Mytilus edulis: one gene and its partner. The protein of the gene in region 1 purifies or fractionates together with the protein of each later gene. This does not show direct contact. Links are inferred from orthologs where the notes say so. Each region holds a gene or a part of one and is shown on either strand. Other genes may lie near its edges.

Region 1 (9,490 bases):
TCTAATAGGACGAACTTCCCATGGTTCCTACCACTTCGCAAGGCTTCTCTTCCAACCTGGCCATAGTTGGAGGTTACTACTTCCCGGCGCGTCGGCAACAATAGGAAGATTATGATCGCCGCTGTGGATAATAAAATTGTCAAAAACTGTTCCTTTGTTAATTATTTGGTGACTATATAATTTTTGGATCGTCTGCAGTAGTTGGTCTGTATAATGGCATAGTTGTGAATTCCTAGTTCATTTAAGATCGGCGCCCGTGGTACGTTTCTTCTGCAATCATTTATATCTGCTATCATTTATAGATGTATGGGTGGTATCGGACATCTTGGTCATCTTGATTCAGTTGTTATTTCGTTGTAAGTATGGAATATTCCTTGGTCCATGTATATGCTGGTGGCCTGTAGATCGGCGCTGTTAGCTTGGCGGTTCCTTTCGGATGCAGGGGTTCACGATTAAATAATAAATTAAATTCCGCGAGGTGAACCAACGCCTGTGAAATCGTTTTGGTAGAGTCCCTGAAGTGGATACCTTGGTATGCCGGGTTGTCAAATCATGCAAATGAATGCAATCCTTAAATAATAATTAAAATTGACAACAACACTTCATGCAAATGAATGCAATCCTTAAATAATAATTAAAATTGACAACAACACTTCAAAAGATCTGCAATTTTATTATCTATGTCTACATGTTTCGCCTGCAAGGCAGGCTTCATCAGGACAAAAATTATATAGTCACCAAATAATTAACAAAGGAACAGTTTTTGACAATTTTATTATCCACAGCGGCGATCATAATCTTCCTATTGTTGCCGACGCGCCGGGAAGTAGTAACCTCCAACTATGGCCAGGTTGGAAGAGAAGCCTTGCGAAGTGGTAGGAACCATGGGAAGTTCGTCCTATTAGATGCCAAGCCTTTAGAACAATTTTATGTATCATATAATAGTAAAACGAACTCAAGTTACATTGTATACAAACTTTAATTTTCTATATTTATCTTATCTATTTATAACTCTGTATTGCTACTTTCACTTTTCATTGTTTCTCTCACCATGACGACGTCAAATTTAATGCACCACTTTGAGTACTTCAGGGGCTCAATTTCTGTATAAAAATTGTCCTGATGAAGCCTGCCTTGCAGGCGAAACATGTAGACATAGATAATAAAATTGCAGATCTTTTGAAGTGTTGTTGTCAATTTTAATTATTATAATTGAAATACTTATATACAACTTATTGTCCTGACACTAGATAAATGCGTTTTGGGCCCCTTTGGGCCCCTAACTTCTAAACCTTAAGGACCATAACCCCTAAAAACAATCCCAAACTTCCATTTGTGGTTATAAACATTGTGTTAAAATTTTATTGATTTCTATTTACTTATACTTATATCCGTCTTTGAATAATGCTGATGACGTGATTTATAGAATAGCTAATCCAAGAATTCAAATATCGAAAAATATTCAACGAGTGACCGAACATCACATTAATTCATGAATGCGTGTAGCGCATGAGTTAATTATCAGTGTTGTTCGGTCACAAGTTGAATATTTTTCGATATTTGAATTCTTCAATTACTTATTCTTTTTATTACATTGGCAAAGGTTTTTTTTAAAGGAATTAATGTAAAACATGTAAGGAACTATATCTTTTTTCTACGCATTCACAATTTGTTTTGATCCGCCGCTATCGACATCTTGACAACGCCTATTGTTGTATGACGTCAGAGAGTGAAATAACCACGTTAATTTCACATGTGAAATTATCGGTTTTTATTTAAATGGGAAATCAAGGTAATTTATTGCAACCAATGCAATCGCAAACATTGTTGTGGTCGTATCAAAAAATAGTTTTAATAATTATAAGATTGATATTTTTTTAATAGATATTAGATTCCTTTTTTTCCATTTGTAAAGGATCATAACTCTAGAACGTTTGAATTGACACCACTAAAATTCAAACTTAATTTGTATTTTGAGGAAATAAGCAAATGTGTATAAGCTTAATAACATTTGGTTGAGGCAAACTTAAGTTATAGAACCGAAACTAAAATAATTGTAATTTTTCCATTTATAAAGGGGCATACCTCAACAACGGTTCTAGTAATTTTACAAAATTTCAAACTTGATCTGTATATAATTAGTGATACTTAGCATTGTGTATAAATTTCATAACATTTGGTTGATGCACACCAAAGTTAGAGAACGGAAACTAAAAATTTCGCAATTTTCCATTTATAAAGCAGCATAACTCTAGAACTGTTAAAGTGGCACCACCAAATTTCAAACTTGATAAGTGTTTTATGGTAATAAGCATTGTGTATAAGTTTCATAACATTTGGTTGATGCAAACTCAAGTAAGAGAACAGAAACCAATTTCAGGATGTACGGACGAACGTATGTACATACAGACCGACAAGGGTAAAACTTAATGCATGGGGTTGATCTCCAGTGCTACAATACATATCTCAATACAATGCTGCTTCTTCTGGAACATTTATACTTACTTGGATCTGATTTTGAAAATACATCTGAATCTATGAGGTGTCTGAAATGATACAAATGTTAAAAATCAAATCTATAAGAAATTGTAACATGTAATCTTTCAGATCCTAGTTAGAAAAATAAATAAAAATAGTCTTCTCTCTTTTAGTAAGGTTTCAACTTTTAAGATTTGTTTCTGTGTACAGTTGACTCTATAATTTGTCTGATCTGACTGACTTTGAGATAACGAGAGTAGACTGTATTTACAATTTTTTTCTGAAACATTTTAAAATTTATTTTTAACTTTTGGTCTTAAATTGCCTTATAAAATGAAAGTTATTTCAGAAACACGACAAACACTTGTAAAATAAAGGATTGGGAAAGACCGAGTTGACAGTGCTAAAAAACATTTGGTAAAAATTTAAAAGTTATTTTCTCCCCAGATTCAATGTCCAAAAATATTCAAGGAAAACTTTTATAAGAATTGATGGCAGAATAACTGGTACTCTATTAGTAATAAAACAAGAAGGCTTCAAAAGTTCACCTGCTTAAGAATTTTCAAACTTCATACCGTACACCTAATAATTATACAGTGACTCTATTGCTTATAGTATCTGATGAACATACCTTATTGTGGAAATTAAACTTAACATTCCCCAAGGCCAATGAACCATAAAAATAAGGTCACAGTCAAGGTCAGATGGACTCACCAATACATTGTAAATTCATTTTCAGCAGAAAACAATAAGGGAGCAACCATTTAGTTTAAAGGGCATGAAGGGGGAGGTATTGTTTTGTGTTTGAGTCAGTATTTCTCACCTGCAAAGCGCTTCAACGCTATAAGTCAAAATTATTTAGTAAAAATAAAACACTGAAAGGTATGGGGAAAACCTGGATTCAGAATTTATTTTTTTTGTCCTCTGGAATAGAATTTTCTTTTCCTTCAATTTGGAAATAAGACTATTTAAGAAAAATACTAGTCAAACTAATAATGACATCTAGGAAGGCTTTTTTAATTTTTTGCTTTGATGCCTTCCTTAGCAAGTCAAAGAAATATATAATAGCCTAACAAGACGTCATAATTATTTTTACTAGAAAAATACCAGTATGACAACAATCAGTGGCAGATCATCAAGAACTTTTTGGAAGGGGTGTCGGCTGACTGACCTTAAAAAAGGGGGGGGGGGGGGGGGGGGGGGGGGGGGGGGGGCTACTCCGATCACTCTTCAGTGATTCCCAATATTAGCAACCAAATTTTTCCAACGAAAAAGGTGGGGGCAGCCCCCTGGATCCGCCTATGATAATCAATTAATAAAGTTTGAATTGTTTTACATTGTCAATTCCGGGGCTTTTATAGCTGACTATGAGGGCAGAGGTATGGGCTTTGCTCATGGTTGAAGGCCGTACAGTGACCTGTAGTTGTTACAACAGAAAAAACACTGAATCCATCAAAATTTTCTCAGACAGCCAATCAGCAATTGGAATTTTAACTTTAAATTGGAAATCAGATAATTATGGCAAAACTATTCATGATATTAAAATCGGTATATTGGCACTAAAATCTGAAGGAATCATTGTTTCCATTGAATGGACCCCTGGACACGCTGACATACAAGGTAATGAACTAGCAGACCAACTAGCTAAAAAAGCAGCACTGGAAGCAGAAAAAATACAAAGCATTCCAATATTTACAAAACAAGATATACAAAAAGGAGCAAAAGACAGTGTTATGTTAAAATGGCAAAACCGATGGGAGACCAGTGATAAAGGAAGAAGATATTATGCCTTGCAACAAAATGTGAAAAATACACTTCCAAAAGACAAACCGTCAACTGAAATATATTGAATAACTACTAGTTTAAGAACAGGATATTGCAATTTAAACTCATACAAATCAATGATATGCCCAGCACTCATCGACAAATGCAGCTGTGGACAAGTAGAAACAGTTGACCATTATCTACTGGATTGTGAAAATTATGAGGAGGCTATAGAGAAAAACTTCGCTCTGCACTCTACTTCATAACATCAAAACTAACACTTAAATCAGAAGTATTATTAGCAACAACAGAAAATGATAATTACAAACATCACATAGAAGATATTCAACATTTGTTAGGGGTCTTTATTAAAGATACTCGAAGGTTCACAAAATAGATAGTTCAGGTTTTATAAGGGTTAACTATTTATTCATTTTTTTGTTAATTATTTATTTATTTATTTATTTATTTTTCTCTGCATCGCCACATAATAGATACACATGTGCTAATGAGTTTTATACAATAGCGACATAAAATTACCAAGGTAATCGAAATTACAGTCTACAGAGAGATTATAGTGTCAAGTTGACACTTCTAAAGACTAAAGATTTCTGCATCATTTTGGTCTCTTGTGGAGAGTTTATCACACCACATTTTCTTATTTTTTTTTGGTATAAAGCTGGCATTTAAGGTATCGCCTTCCTCATATTAGAAAAAAAAGAATGTTGATCAGTGACCCATGAAAATGAGGTCAAGGTCAGTTGAAACCTGCCAATCGGACATGTAAACCTTGTATAAATCATATTTTTGTAATTATTGTCATTGCACCATGTAAATTTCATTGGTCGCCTTTAAAAAATAGAATTTTACTTTCACTTAAACTTTTTACGCATTTTTAATCAATTTGTTTATGTCAAATCAGAGATGTTGATTTCGAAATGTTTACTTTGACATGTTGATGCACAAATTAATAGTAAATAAAAAGATGCATCTTCTGTGCCTTGAAACAGATTTTTAACATTTGAGTGTATTGATGCTGTTAATCCTTACCGACAAGAAATCGACAACTCGACTAAGGTAGCAGGAGCTACACCTGTTCCTGGTTGAAACGTATTCTCTGCCATATTATTTTTGTTTACAAAATTTCTCTTTTAAAATTCTCTAGACTTTACTGCAAGAGGATAGGACAAGTCAACTTATACCGAACGATTTCGAAATGCAACATGGGAAATCCATCCGGGCCTTGCGTCATCAACACGCATGTCAAAGGGTGTCAGAGCCGCTAGGAAGAAGCACATGGCCGCTGAATGAGGTCAAATTCCTTTCATTTTCTTCAATTTTAGTGCTCTGTTTACGGAATTTTATCTTTTGGCATATAAAAACTAATGAAGTAATCATTTAACTTTGGAAATAAGGTAGCAACTATGGGAATTAAATCTCTGCAAGATTATATTGAGACGCACTGCTCTAGTGCCTGTGTGTCAGTTGATTTGCTGAAAATATCTAGGGGTTTTGTACCAAAAAGGCGTGGCAGGTATCCAGGTTCATCCAGATTCTGCCTTGTTGTAGATGCAGAGAGCTGTCTAGATCGACTCTATGGCGGCTACTTTTCAGACTGGGTATGTGGGGGTCAATGGAATAGGATGACATCTTATTTAAACAGCCTAATCCAGGCTTGTCAAGCAGCTAACATGGAACTGGTTGTATTCTTCAATGGGTCTTTGGAGAGTCAAAAAATGAATGATTGGTTTGCAAGTCAGAGTATGGAGAAGAAGAAGGTACAGTCCATCTTGCGACATGTCAACAACAAAGGAACACCACCTCCCAAAATTTGGTGGATCCCACCAGTGTTCCTCCATGGTGCACTTAGAATGGCATTGCGACAGCTAGGTGTTACTGTTGCATGCTCTATGGATGACCATGAGCAAGAGGTTATTGGTTATTGCAGGGAACATGGGCTTCAAGGAATTCTTGCACAAGATGCAGTATACACAATATTTGATCCACCACGTTATTTTTCATCCCACAACCTGAAACTGACCTATAAAGGTTCTTTAGAAACCAAAGAATACATCATGGATGAGATTGCAAAAAATCTTAACCTGAACCCAAACAGATTCTGCATTTTTGCAGCACTATTGGGTAAGTTCAGCAGTATGAACAGTAACATAATGTTATTTAGAAACGCAAGAAATCTATTTATAAATGAACAGAAGTAACCGATTGAAATAGAATTGACTAATCAAACGCACCTTTCTCCTGACATGCCTGAAATCATGTTTTTTATGTAACTTTAAAACTTGTTTCACAATATTTTGATTGGTTCCATACTCTTACTATTGACAGTTGAAAATAAGGGTGTATGTACCCTAGCTACATGTACTAGAATTTCAGGGTTCAACTACTAGCGAACTAGCTAGCCAAATATATTACCTTTACTGCGAATAGTACATACATGTAGTATATATACATGTTACATCTAACCATTAAAAAAGAATGATTGGCATGCTAGTGTTTTGAATCTTTAAACAAAAGATGATCCACTCTGCACTGTGCAGTTGAAGGAGGATTAGTTGCCATGCCGTTTATTCTGGTTTAATTAGAAATTCATGCATGTATATAGTGATGGTCATAATAGAACTGCTTTGGTTGATATGAAATTAAAATTCCTGAACACCTGAAGCATGAACTACTGCAGATTATTAAGGGCGAATTTACATTTATGAATGTATAGAAAAAATCTGGTTGATGTTTAATCAATTAAATTCATTTATTCTGTAAAAATTGTTTCACATCATTTTTTAACCTCGTGTTCCATTTTTTCCAGGAAATCACATCCTACCAGATGCAGACTTGTATGACTTCTACAGAAATTTACTGAACACCACACAGCCAGATGGTGGACAACCTATTAAGGTGAATTCATACTATAAATTAGTCCAAAACACCGTTTGGTGTCCACCTATTACATGTATTGCATTTATTTAGAGGATGGTATGAGGGTCACAAGGCTGTCTTTTCTAGTTGCCGCTTACACATAAAAAACACCTGAATCTGCATTCTTTTTCACCTACTGATAACTGAGGGGTCTAATAATGTGCAGGTGATAATAAAGAACAATAACCAAAAGAATCAAATTTATGGACATTTATCATTTGACCGGTGTACACTAAATTAAAGAAACGACAATGCAACCTTGTGTCGATCAAACTGGCGTCTCGGTTGAAATTCTGGTTGGTTGTTTTGAATAATGTTGTCTTTTGCCTGAAATATTGTTATTATGCATATTTACACATTGTCAACAAAAAATAAGGTTGTCGGTTCAATTTAAAATTTTACCAAATTTATTATTCACTCAGCAATGAGTGCACATAACTGTATTCATTAAAAATTATTATTGGAAAAGATTAAAGGCATCTGACAATTAAAATCACTGTGTAATTCACATACAAAGAGTTAAATTTTATGGACATTTTAGTTGGTAAAAACCTTAGTTTAGTGGTGTCATCAGGGTTTTACTTGTTTTGACTATTGCACTAGTGCATTTAGTGATGACCACAGGCTATTACTCTTGATAGAAAATATATTTTAATCATTTTATTAACCGGATTTTTGTGACAAAAATGTTGGTTATTGATTTGGGGATGTACGGCGAGCGGCAATCAAATGTTGTCCGTGCATTAACTCATGAACCGTTCAACCAAAGCTTTTCAAATTTTAATGTGTTGTTACTGACAACTAAATGAAGGTCAAGTTCAATACTGGTGATTTTTACTCTTACCGTTCAGGAGTTATGGTTCTTGAAAGATTGAAAAATGGAGTTTCCAGTCGTGTCCGTGCATAAACGCATGAACTGTTCTACCAAAGCTTCCCAAATTTTGATCTGTTGTTACTTATGACAAAATAGAGGTCAAGTTCAATAATGACGATTTTGACTTTTACGGTTCAGGAGTTATGGTTCTTGAAAGATTGCAAAATGGCGTTTCCATTCACGTTGTTGCATTTTCTCATGAACCATTCAATATAAGCTTTTCAAATTTTAATATGTTGATACTGATGACAAAATGGAGGTCAAATTTGATATTGACGATTTTCACTTTCAATATTCATCAGTAATGGTTCTTGTGATATTGCCAGGACACAAATAAATATTAATAAATCTGGTTTGCTGTCGTTGTGACAGCCTCTTGTTTTTTATTGAATTTGTATCCAGATTTTAATTGGGACATCAGTTTGTGTCTGTGCAATAACTTGTGAACTGTTAAACAAATCTGTTTCAAGTTGAAATTTATTATTACTGATGACAGAATGAGGTCAAGGTAGATATTGAAGATTTTCAGTTTTGCTGTACAGGAGTTCTGTTTATTTATTGATTAGAAAATTGGAATTTTATATTGTTTCTGTGGCATAAGTTAACAGCTGGTTTACAAATGCTTTTCAAATGAACTGAAATATATTGTCAATTTAATATGGGAATATTGGGGTCACATTTGATTGATGATTATAACTATTGCTCTTTAGAAGTCGCAACTCAAGATTGCTGTTAAAATTACTCACAAATTGAAATGAAATGAAAATTGTTTGTCATTGTGACAGCCTTTTTTGTTTAAAAAAATCAAGTGAAAGTTTTAGTTCTTGCCTTTACATTGTAAAAAGTGTAATACATGCTCTAGTGAGCTTTTAAAATCGACATTGATTTTTGTCATAGAATTAAGATAACACATATATTATATTCTAGAACTGTATTGCAAAAGGTTTAAAATTTATTAATATTTTTCGGAAGTTTTAATATTATTTTATAACTCCCACCCTCAAAATTTAATCTGTGGTGACCCCTGAGCCATCATATTTATTAACTCTGTGAGTTTTAGGAAGATACATTATTCAAACTTTTGTCTTGCAGTTTACTCCAGAGAATTGTATTGAAGCAGCTGTAAAATTTGTTCGTAACTTAGCCTCAGTAGATAATCTGGATACTGTTGGAGAACAGATTTTCAGGTAATTAATTGACTTATCTGTTATAATGATTTCTACTTATTTTTATACGACCGCAAAATTTGAAAAATTTTTCGTCGTATATTGCTATCACGTTGGCGTCGGCGACGTCGTCGTCGTCGTCGTCGTCGTCGTCCGAATACTTTTAGTTTTCGCACTCTAACTTTAGTAAAAGTGAATGGAAATCTATGAAATTTTAACACAAGGTTTATGACCACAAAAGGAAGGTTGGTATTGATTTTGGGAGTTTTGG
Region 2 (9,619 bases), on another chromosome or scaffold:
TTAGTTATCATATATATGCATGTACATTGTAATCATGTGAAGAATAATCACTTACACAATGAATTTCTACTCTCATTACATATGTACACATATCTGTCATATGTTTCATCCTTTCTTGATAATTCAGTGCATTTTCATTTTTCCCATATCAAGTCACAAAACTTTAGATTTTGATAAAAAATTAAGCAATATTTTCCCATTTATATAATCAGTATTACAATTAACTAAGAGAATTTGATAACTAAATTATGAACTTTCAACAATAAAATTTTAACAAACAACAAGAACTAATTAAATACAGCAAACTTGACTTCTCTCTTTATTGTTCCAGTTTGAAGGCATGTGTGTGAACTTATGTCTAGTAATGGCCTTACCCTGCTTACCCCAGCACAAAATATATATTTATCAATCTTTTTTACCAGCAAACAAGAAAACTGAAGAAATTTAAGGTTGGATGAATGGTAAATAATATGTAGGCATTACAAATTTAACTATCCCAAGTAAAATGAAATATACTTTTTTGAGCCATTGCAAGGTTTTTTGATAATATCAATAATACTTAATGTATTGGTCAGCCACCCCTGTTTGAAGGGTAGTCAACAATGGTAAAGGGGTAGTTTAACCTCTTATCTTGCTAACTGGCCAACATTTATTACACATTTAACTTGACCAATATATATATTATATTAACAAGATTGAGACATTTGTTTTGTTCTTCAGAGTTTCAACTAATGAAACAACAGGTTTAATATTACAGAAAGGATCAACATTTTGTTCACGTAATCAAGTTTCATTTACTATGATGGTCAGAGAAATGAAGGTACCATAAAATATGGGTATACCTGTCCCTAATCATTGTACAAGACAATATTGAGGTGACCATTATTGGATCTGTTAACCAATACAACTTAGTAAATGGTATGCAAGACCAAGAAATGCTTTCATTTCTGATTTGTAGCTCCAAGGCATTTTGTTGTCATTTGGCCTTTGCTTTTGTAGTGAATATGAAAATAGGGAGATGAGGTATGATTGACAATAAGACCACTATCCACCAAAGTTCAAATACAGTGGATGTAAGTAATTATAGGCAACCATATGGCCTTCATCAATGAGAAAATCCCATATTGTAAAGTCAGCTATAAAAGGCCCACCAGACATGAGAAATATTAAACAATTCGACTGAGAAAACTAACTGCCTATATATATAGCTACATGTTCTTGATTACAAAACAATTTATTTAAAATGAAAATGACAGACATGAACCAACAACAACCAGTGAACTACATGCTCCTGACTTGGGACAGGCACATAAAGAGTGTGGCAGGGTTAAACGTGTTTGTGAGCACTCAACCTTTCCCCCTTATCTGGGATAGTGACATAACAGCACCTTTAAAAATAAGTGGAAAGCTTAAAGTTATCAGTTTTGTTGATTTAGAATCAGCAACTTTATATGGATAATCCTTTTCATGAATGCATTCAGAATGCATTCATGAAAAGGATTATCCATATAAAGTTGCCCTAAATCTGACACCTCCTTTTCAGTACCCATGACATGACTTAGCCAAATATTCCCACAAGGGGCAAATATATGTGTAGACTTTTTCAACACTACTAATCTCATTGTTTGTGCCACCAATTAATATTAACCTCCTGCTCCCCTTTGGCTTCCTCATTATTTGACTCATTATAGCCCACACTGTCATCTTTCCCCTGCCCACCCTGACCAATTCTTAACCTTTCCTCATTAAGTAATAAGACCTCTTTTCCGGCATTAATAACATCAGTTTCACTGAACCTGCAAATTCTACATCAGTTTCGTCTGACGACATTTTCACACTGAAATACTAGCAGACGAAGTTGCACTTCCTAAACTGCTTTCAATTTCGTGCATTGTTCTCCCGTACATTCACAGCCCTACCCGCTTATTTCACCCGATACTCAATCAAAGTGTATGTGTCACCCGAGTACCAGCTTTTCAAAGCCATATCTCTGTTCCCTCGAAATCGAGAATTGTTTTTGCAGCAAAGCCATGAACGCGAAAAAAACTTACTTGTCTAGTTCCGATTTGTGGGGGGAATAAAAAGATCGCTATCATATTTATTTAAGATATATTGAACCATTTATTTTTATTGTATAGTTAAAACTACCTAAGAATAATAAAGGGCTTCATCAAAACACAGAAAACAGTTGTACTTCCACTCCTCGTTATCGAGAGAAGCCATTTTGAAACCCCACATGACCTCAAAACGTGTTTCCGGTTCTAATTTTATAAAATAAAATTTTCCGATTTGATTTATTTACCTTTCACAATGTTTTTAATGCTGTTGAAGAACTGAAATAATACCCTCAGATATCGTAGATTAAAATTGAAACATTGATTTCAACTGTTAAGAACGGCAAATAGTGTAAAATTGCGGCTTTTATTGGGACAATATTTATGTATCCTGAAGGATACACTCGCCCTGCGCATCGTGTATCCTCAAGGATACATCCGCCCTGCGCATTGTGTATCCTCAAGGATACACTCGCCGCGAAAGGGTTAAAGGAATCAATATGCTACAGCAACAGGGCTAAGCTCATTTGCATATAATTTGCATATTTTTGCAAAGAAACGAAAATTAGACATTTTCTGAAAACAATTCAGCATGGTAAGGGTTAATATAAAGGATTGCCTACTTTAAGTACATTTCAATTGGAATGTCCTTTCCACTTTAAACTTGACATGACTAAAGATGGACTAAACCTTTTTGCGAGGGAAGCAAAATGTTTATTTGATCATCTTCTGTTTTGCATTTCACTAAAAGATTATTTTTTTAAATCTCATATGGGTATTTTTCAAATTCATTAAAATTTAGTTTTTTAAATTTGCATTTACATTTTTTAATAGTATTCATTTTTATCATGTTTTTCTTTTTTTATAGGGACTGTACAGTTTCATTTTCCACCAGTCAGCATTTAATTTGCATAATTTTATTTTTTAAACAATATAAAAAGGGAGGGAGGGTGGGAAATTTTTCGATCTGAAATTGATACACTGAAGAAATCTAATGTAATGACTAGGGAAAGGAATTCCTTTAAAACTAAAAGGTGTATTGAACATAAATCAAAATCAGTTAAGCGTGAATACATATATCAAACGATCGGCCACAGGGAGTAATTAGAACATATTTTGCATCGTAATTACTAGTTTTTTAGAAAAAAGAAATCGAAATCCCCATATTATCAATATTTTCAGTTTGTATTTCATGTTTCATTTCCGATCTGATGGCATTTTTTTTTAAACGGATGTGGGTACGTGTAGCCTACGAATGGCAATTTGAGTATTATCCGCATGTGGGTAAACGCAGACACTGCCTTTAAAGAATGAGTAACACTAGTCACATTTTTGTAACTAAGGTCAATCAGCGTAAACAATGTCATTGAAAATTCAGTTCTGACATGAACATGTCTCAGCATTGTGGCATCAGAAATTTACAGGAATTCAAATTAGTCTATTTGGAAAAAAATGTCATGTACATGTGGATGCAATTTTTGGTATTGACTGAGGTATCTGTATCCAATGAATTTCTGCCAATATAGGCACACCTCCGTATATGGAGTAAAACAATAAAAGTATCAATAATGTTTATAGACAGTATTACCGAATAAGACTGAATATTCAATTTAGAGAAACCTAATCATGACTTTTTGATAATGGTCAGGTGGAACATCATTTAAAGCATTGATCAGTTTACTAAAATGTCAAACTTATCGTCAAAAAGAAATAAATTTTATAAAAATAACCTTTGTTTTCGTTTGAACGTTTATCTTTCACAACCCAGATATCTTCGATTCCTCCATATCGCTCGAATTCCTTCTGGAACATTTCTTCCGTTGCTTGTTTACTGCATAAAATAAAGAGTCTACTATTGGCAGGGCGAACATCTTCTTGGAGATCTCTATGTCTTTTATCGTAGGGCTGGTAATTCGCCATTTCCACGCTGTTGACCGTTGGAATAGAGTTACTTCCCCTGTAAAAACAAAACTAATAAACTCGCCCTGTACAGATCGACCCAAAAGACATCCACAATAAAAAAAAATATCTCCCAGTCGGGTAGTTGTTTATAAATGAAACTAAATTTATACTTTTGTCCTTATTAGATACAAAAAAAAAAAGCTGAGATAATCCAACAAGGATACCACAAGGATCAATATTGGGTTTGCTGACTGTTATTTGAACTGTACATAAACAATCTTCCAGACGGCTGATATATGATATATAATATAGCTAATGGATTTTGATGCTTATGTATTTTCCGATGACACCAATATCTGTAGGGTAATGAAGAATCAGAATGCCAGAGACATTCTACCGTCGAAGAAGACCTTTACAAGATGGAAACATGGAGCGACAAATAGCTACACCATGAAAAATGTAAATACATAAAAATATGTAAGAAATCAACTTGAATAGCACTGACAACTCAAATAATTACAGTCTACTTAATCATACAATAGAAAAGTTTTACAGAGGAAAAAAATCATATAGGAGTCCTTATTGACTCAGAACTCACCAGTGAAAATCACATCATGAAGGACATGAAGCGAAAAATAAAATAAAGCCAACTGATTAGTTTAAACATATTTTATTTGTTAAAGTACAAATTGGATAAGACACAAGTCAAACAGACTTATGAAGTTTTCTCCATTTAACATTTATAGCAATATAATACAAAAATATATGTCATGATAGAATGGTATATCTATTTAGTAAATATATATATAAATATGGATCAAAAGACGGAAAATTGAAGAAAAAGAAAACAATAATAATACAGAAAAAAAAATCAAAAATAAAAATATATAAATAAATAAATCATTATTTAGAAAACAGAAACACAAAAAAAAAAAAAAAAATATAACAACAAAAAAACAAATAGTAATAAAAAAAAAAAACAAAAAAAAAAAAAACGAAAAAATAAAAAGGACAAAAAAGGGGAGAAGAAATTGATATACGCAGTTTTCAAAAGAACTTAAATTATTGGGTACTGAGACATTCGTGCTTTTGTATAAAAAATATCAGAACCCATTTGTACTATGCTAGTCCAGTCTGGTCTTCATACAAGAAAAAAGGTTTTAACAAAATAGAAGGAGTCCAAAGAAGGGTAACAAAACAACTACCAGGACTCAAAGATATGAGCTATCACAGAGACTTTTAAAAAGGCTTACCTACACTATCATATAGAAAAATACGAGGGGATATGTTTGAAACCTTCAAAACCTATCAATGGGTACTATGATAAGGAAGTAAGCTCATTTTAAACATGGAAGCTGATTCACAACGTTAACATAGACTGACGGCAGTAGAAGGACAATTAGCAACAAAGTCATCCATTAAAGATTTCAATCTAAAATCCACAAACACTCCTTATCTGTTAGAATTGCTAACCTGGAACAAACAATCAAATAAATAAAATCACTAAAGCCCCATCCATAAATGCCTTTAACTATTATTATATAATGACTATAGATCAGAAATACCAGGGAGTCACGGAAAAAAACCCAGTATACTATAAACAATTTAAATTATGAGTCTGATGAAGAGTGTAGTAATAGACCATCTACATACATTTTCAAAATAATGAATATATATTCCCTCTATATAGATCCTAATCAGGTATATGGGTTTCTATTACTATTACGGAGGAATCAACTGCATTTAAACAATCTAAACGGAGAAGATGATAAGGAAATCACACACAGGCACTTGTCTCAGAAAAAAAATTTCCTATGTGTTATATTAAGGTATATAGGAAATTTTTTTTCTGAGACAAGTGCCTGTGAAATCACATCCCAAAGAAGAACTGATAACTAATACCATGGCAAAAATGAAACTACAAAAAGTTTACAAACATAGCATCCAAACAAACTTAGCAACACGAACCACACCATAAAACGGAGATTTACAAATGAAAACGGTGTTATTAGGGACTTTGTTTGCGGGGTCATCAACTTACTTGTCTTGGAGGTATAGGATTAAAGCTAGGTGTTTGGGTACATTTGGATTTTTAATACTAGATAGATCTAGCATGAAAGACTCGTTAAGACTTTTGATGTGTATCACAGTACTTAATTAACCTATTCGGACAGATTATATTAATATAAGGATAATTTGTTTTGACTTAATTACTCAGCAGTGGGACCACTGAGGACCAATAGCAGTGGACCGCTGAATGTTGACCCTTCTGCACGAGACAGCACGGACGGCGTTAAGGTTCATGTGGACCCTATGGCTAAAATGGCCGTATTTTCACCTCAAAATTTTCTCTGAGTACAGGCAAACCTGTGCATCTGGAAAAGTTTTAAGGCATGGCATGCCCTAGATAAATAGAATTCAAATGCATTGTATGATTTAGAAAATTCATAACTTAACTGGATTTTGCCGTACACTTTTTTTCATCTCTGCAGAAGATGATAAAATTAACAAACAGTTGAGTTTACCTTGATATGGTCCACTCAGGTACACAGTTTAAATAACCAATTATTGTCAGGTATCTATTGTCCATCTAATGTCCATGTCAACTAAAAATGCTCACTTTAAGTTTTACCTGTGGGGAAGTTCTCAAACCTGTTTCCCAACTTAGTTTATTTTGGCACCTTCTGGAGGAATGAAAAAAAGTGCACCGCAAAATCCTGGTAAGTTTTTATTTTTTTAAAACATAAAACATATTTAAAATTCATTTATTTAGGGCATGTCATGCCTTAAAACTTTTCCAGATGCACAGGTTTGCCTGTACTCAGAGAAAATTTTGAGGTGAAAATACGGCCATTTTAGCCATAGGGTCCACATGAACCTTAACTATGTTATTTCCTTTGTGTCTGATAACAAAATTTTGAAGGGTCGATCGAAACTATATCGCTTTCCATTTTTAGTTTATGACTTTGTATCCCGTTTCCTACAACCTCTTTTAATTTAACTCCATGTGTTGCTTATATATATTATATTTGGAATAAGTTCGCTTTTTGATAGACCTATATCTTAATTTTTCCTGCGAATATAATACTAAATCTAATAGTCCCAGTTTTTTCTCATCTTTATTTTGCCGTTCGGTCCAGTGAAAACTTTAACCTCATGTCCTCATTTAAACCTTCATTGACAAAACGACTAACGAATGTCCAGAGATATTGACCTTCCAATGGTAAATCTAAACGAGTTGTATATATTAGATAACGGAAGATATATATCGAAATGACATGAAAACGAAGGAAAACATTCACTATTGATTAGAATTTTATTACCGATCTGGAATTATTTAAAGTATCACTATTGTTTTGACAACTACGCGCGATCGGCCATGACTGTTGTAGCTCGGAACTAAAATTTTCGCTTGTCGTATGACATTTGTGATTTCTATTGAAGGCTCCAGCACAGCAGATACATTTTTTAAGACTACTTATAGTATTAAAATACGATCTTAATTTAACATTGTTTCAACGATTTAAATCCCAGAGAGGAATACGTACCAAAAGAAAAAGAAAATACAGGTATGCATAAATATATTTGTTACTAAAAATATCGTTCACGTTATCCGGTTTATATTTAAAGTATACTGACGGACTCTAAAAAAGCAATACTTATAGATTCTTTATAAACATGAGTTTCAGTTTCGATGTCTAAATAAAGTTTGTGTTGTAAAGTTGCATTGATTTCCTCACGACCAGGACGATCCTTGATTGTAAGAACCGAAACAGCCGATTTTCTCCTTATTATTGGATTTGTCAATGGCTGTTTGTAATCGGGGCAACGTCTTCACGATTGATTGCCATAGAAAAGTCAGCCAGTTCTTCTGGGCATGTTTTGAGTTCAGTTTTTCTGCATCTGTGCTTCCGTTCCTCCGTTCACTAGTCAGACCGTCCGTTTGTCCAGCTTCAGTTTAAAGGTTTTGGTCAATGTAGTTTTTAATGAAGTTGAAGTTCAATCAACTCGAAATGTAGTACACATGTTCCTAATGGTATGATATTTCTAGTTTCAATGCCAAATTAGAGTATAAACCCCCAATTTCACGGTCCACTGAACATATAAATGCATCTGTCCCACTTCAGGTTAAAGTTTTTTGGTTGAGGTATTTTTTGATGAAGTTGAAGCCCAATCAACTTGAAACTTAGTATATATGTTCTCTACATGATATGTTTTTATTGCAAATCAGAGTTTGACCAAACTTCAATCAAGTAATTCTGAAAGGATTTCAATTTAACAATTTTGTAAAATCATTGAATATATCTATATATGCAAAGAAGGCCAAAAAGGGGTGGGATGAATAAAATAATGATATCTCCAAAAATATTCTAAGAACCTCGTCATCCCTGAATTTCAAATGTTCGTCCACGTATTTGTTATGTACAATAAGTTCATGAAGCAACACTGACTGGATGTGATCGGTATGATTTAATTTGTAGATTAGCATTGGAATATGGCAGCAAACTTGGCAGATCAACTGAAGCATGTTAAACTGAAGAAAACAAGAGAACCAATCCGTGATTATTCAGGTTTGAAAACTGGCGGATATTTAACGGAGGACGAGATAAAAGACTATGACGACAATGTACTGGCTGCAAATACAGAACACTGGGTAGATATTCTACGAGACGTCACATTTCCAACAGTTACTACTCCCTTTCATTTAGAAGATGCCAAGCTGTTTATAGATGTATACACAAGGTATCAAAATTATGATAACTAGACATGGAGTAGCCATCCAGATTGTCATACATTGTTTTTAATTTCCAAAAAAATCGTAGAATTTTTTGGATGAGCGTTCCAATTTGATTAAAATCAAGATCTTCGTAATTCGCCTACTCATCGAAAAACTAAACATAGCGACCTGAGTTATACCGAAGATCTGTATTTTAATAAGATCAAGAAATGTGCGAGATCAGTAACTGGCGGTCCTACCTACTTTGATAAATGTTATTGAATGGATTTTTCTACTTTTATTTAAATTTATGCCAAAGATAGGCGAAAGATAACAAAGGGACATCCAAACTCTAAAGTCGAAAACAAACTGACAAATTCTTGGCAAACAAAAACGAAAAACGGCCAAAAAAAACAAAACTAAAGACTGAGCAACACTAACTCCCCCCTAAAACCGGGGATCATCTCATGTGCCCTCGGTAGCGCTCTTACCTCACCATCATACACAGAAAACAATCTTGCCGCTGTGTTTAAATGTATTTTAGTGATTTTTTTTTTTACAAAACTATGAACAAACAATACCATGAAAAAAACCCAGGTTTTTACCTGATTTCCCCGTCCTGTTGTATTGTGATCCTTTCTTAAAATTTAGCCTGCGTTGTCCATCTACTTTGATTAACTCTTTTTCTTTATTCATAAATCCATTCAATGAACTTCATCAAAACAATCCGAGTCTGTATGATGCTAGTGTTAGTCTTCCCCTTATAAACAATTGCCTCACAAACCTTTGAAAGCGAGACATTTATAATATTCGTTTGGAATGTTAAATGTGCAATCAAACATGCTAAGAGAAACCGAACATAAATTGTAACAATGTAAATATATAACTGAATTTGTCCGAACGTTTAAAATAGGATAATGGTAGTAGAATGAACCTTAGAAATAAA

Evidence for each region.
Region 2: the proteins of constitutive coactivator of PPAR-gamma-like protein 1 (region 1) and RNA-binding protein 45-like purify together in Homo sapiens (co-immunoprecipitation; 3 studies listed by BioGRID and IntAct, with this or other methods). This does not show direct contact. The link is inferred for Mytilus edulis from reciprocal best matches to the Homo sapiens genes FAM120A and RBM45.

The regions. Positions count from the first base shown.
Region 1 is NC_092344.1:39,867,022-39,876,511, forward strand, and holds the start of constitutive coactivator of PPAR-gamma-like protein 1, read left to right. Parts: upstream 1-5,463; 5' UTR 5,464-5,666; coding exon 5,667-6,384; intron 6,385-7,069; coding exon 7,070-7,158; intron 7,159-9,145; coding exon 9,146-9,240; intron 9,241-9,490. Other genes in the region: copine-8-like, read right to left, coding at 2,506-2,546, 5,293-5,366. UniProt on the Homo sapiens protein: Component of the oxidative stress-induced survival signaling. May regulate the activation of SRC family protein kinases. May act as a scaffolding protein enabling SRC family protein kinases to phosphorylate and activate PI3-kinase.
Region 2 is NC_092345.1:93,886,142-93,895,760, reverse strand, and holds the start of RNA-binding protein 45-like, read right to left. Parts: upstream 4,019-9,619; 5' UTR 3,975-4,018; coding exon 3,785-3,974; intron 1-3,784. Other genes in the region: translation initiation factor eIF2 assembly protein-like, read left to right, coding at 8,452-8,699. UniProt on the Homo sapiens protein: RNA-binding protein with binding specificity for poly(C). May play an important role in neural development.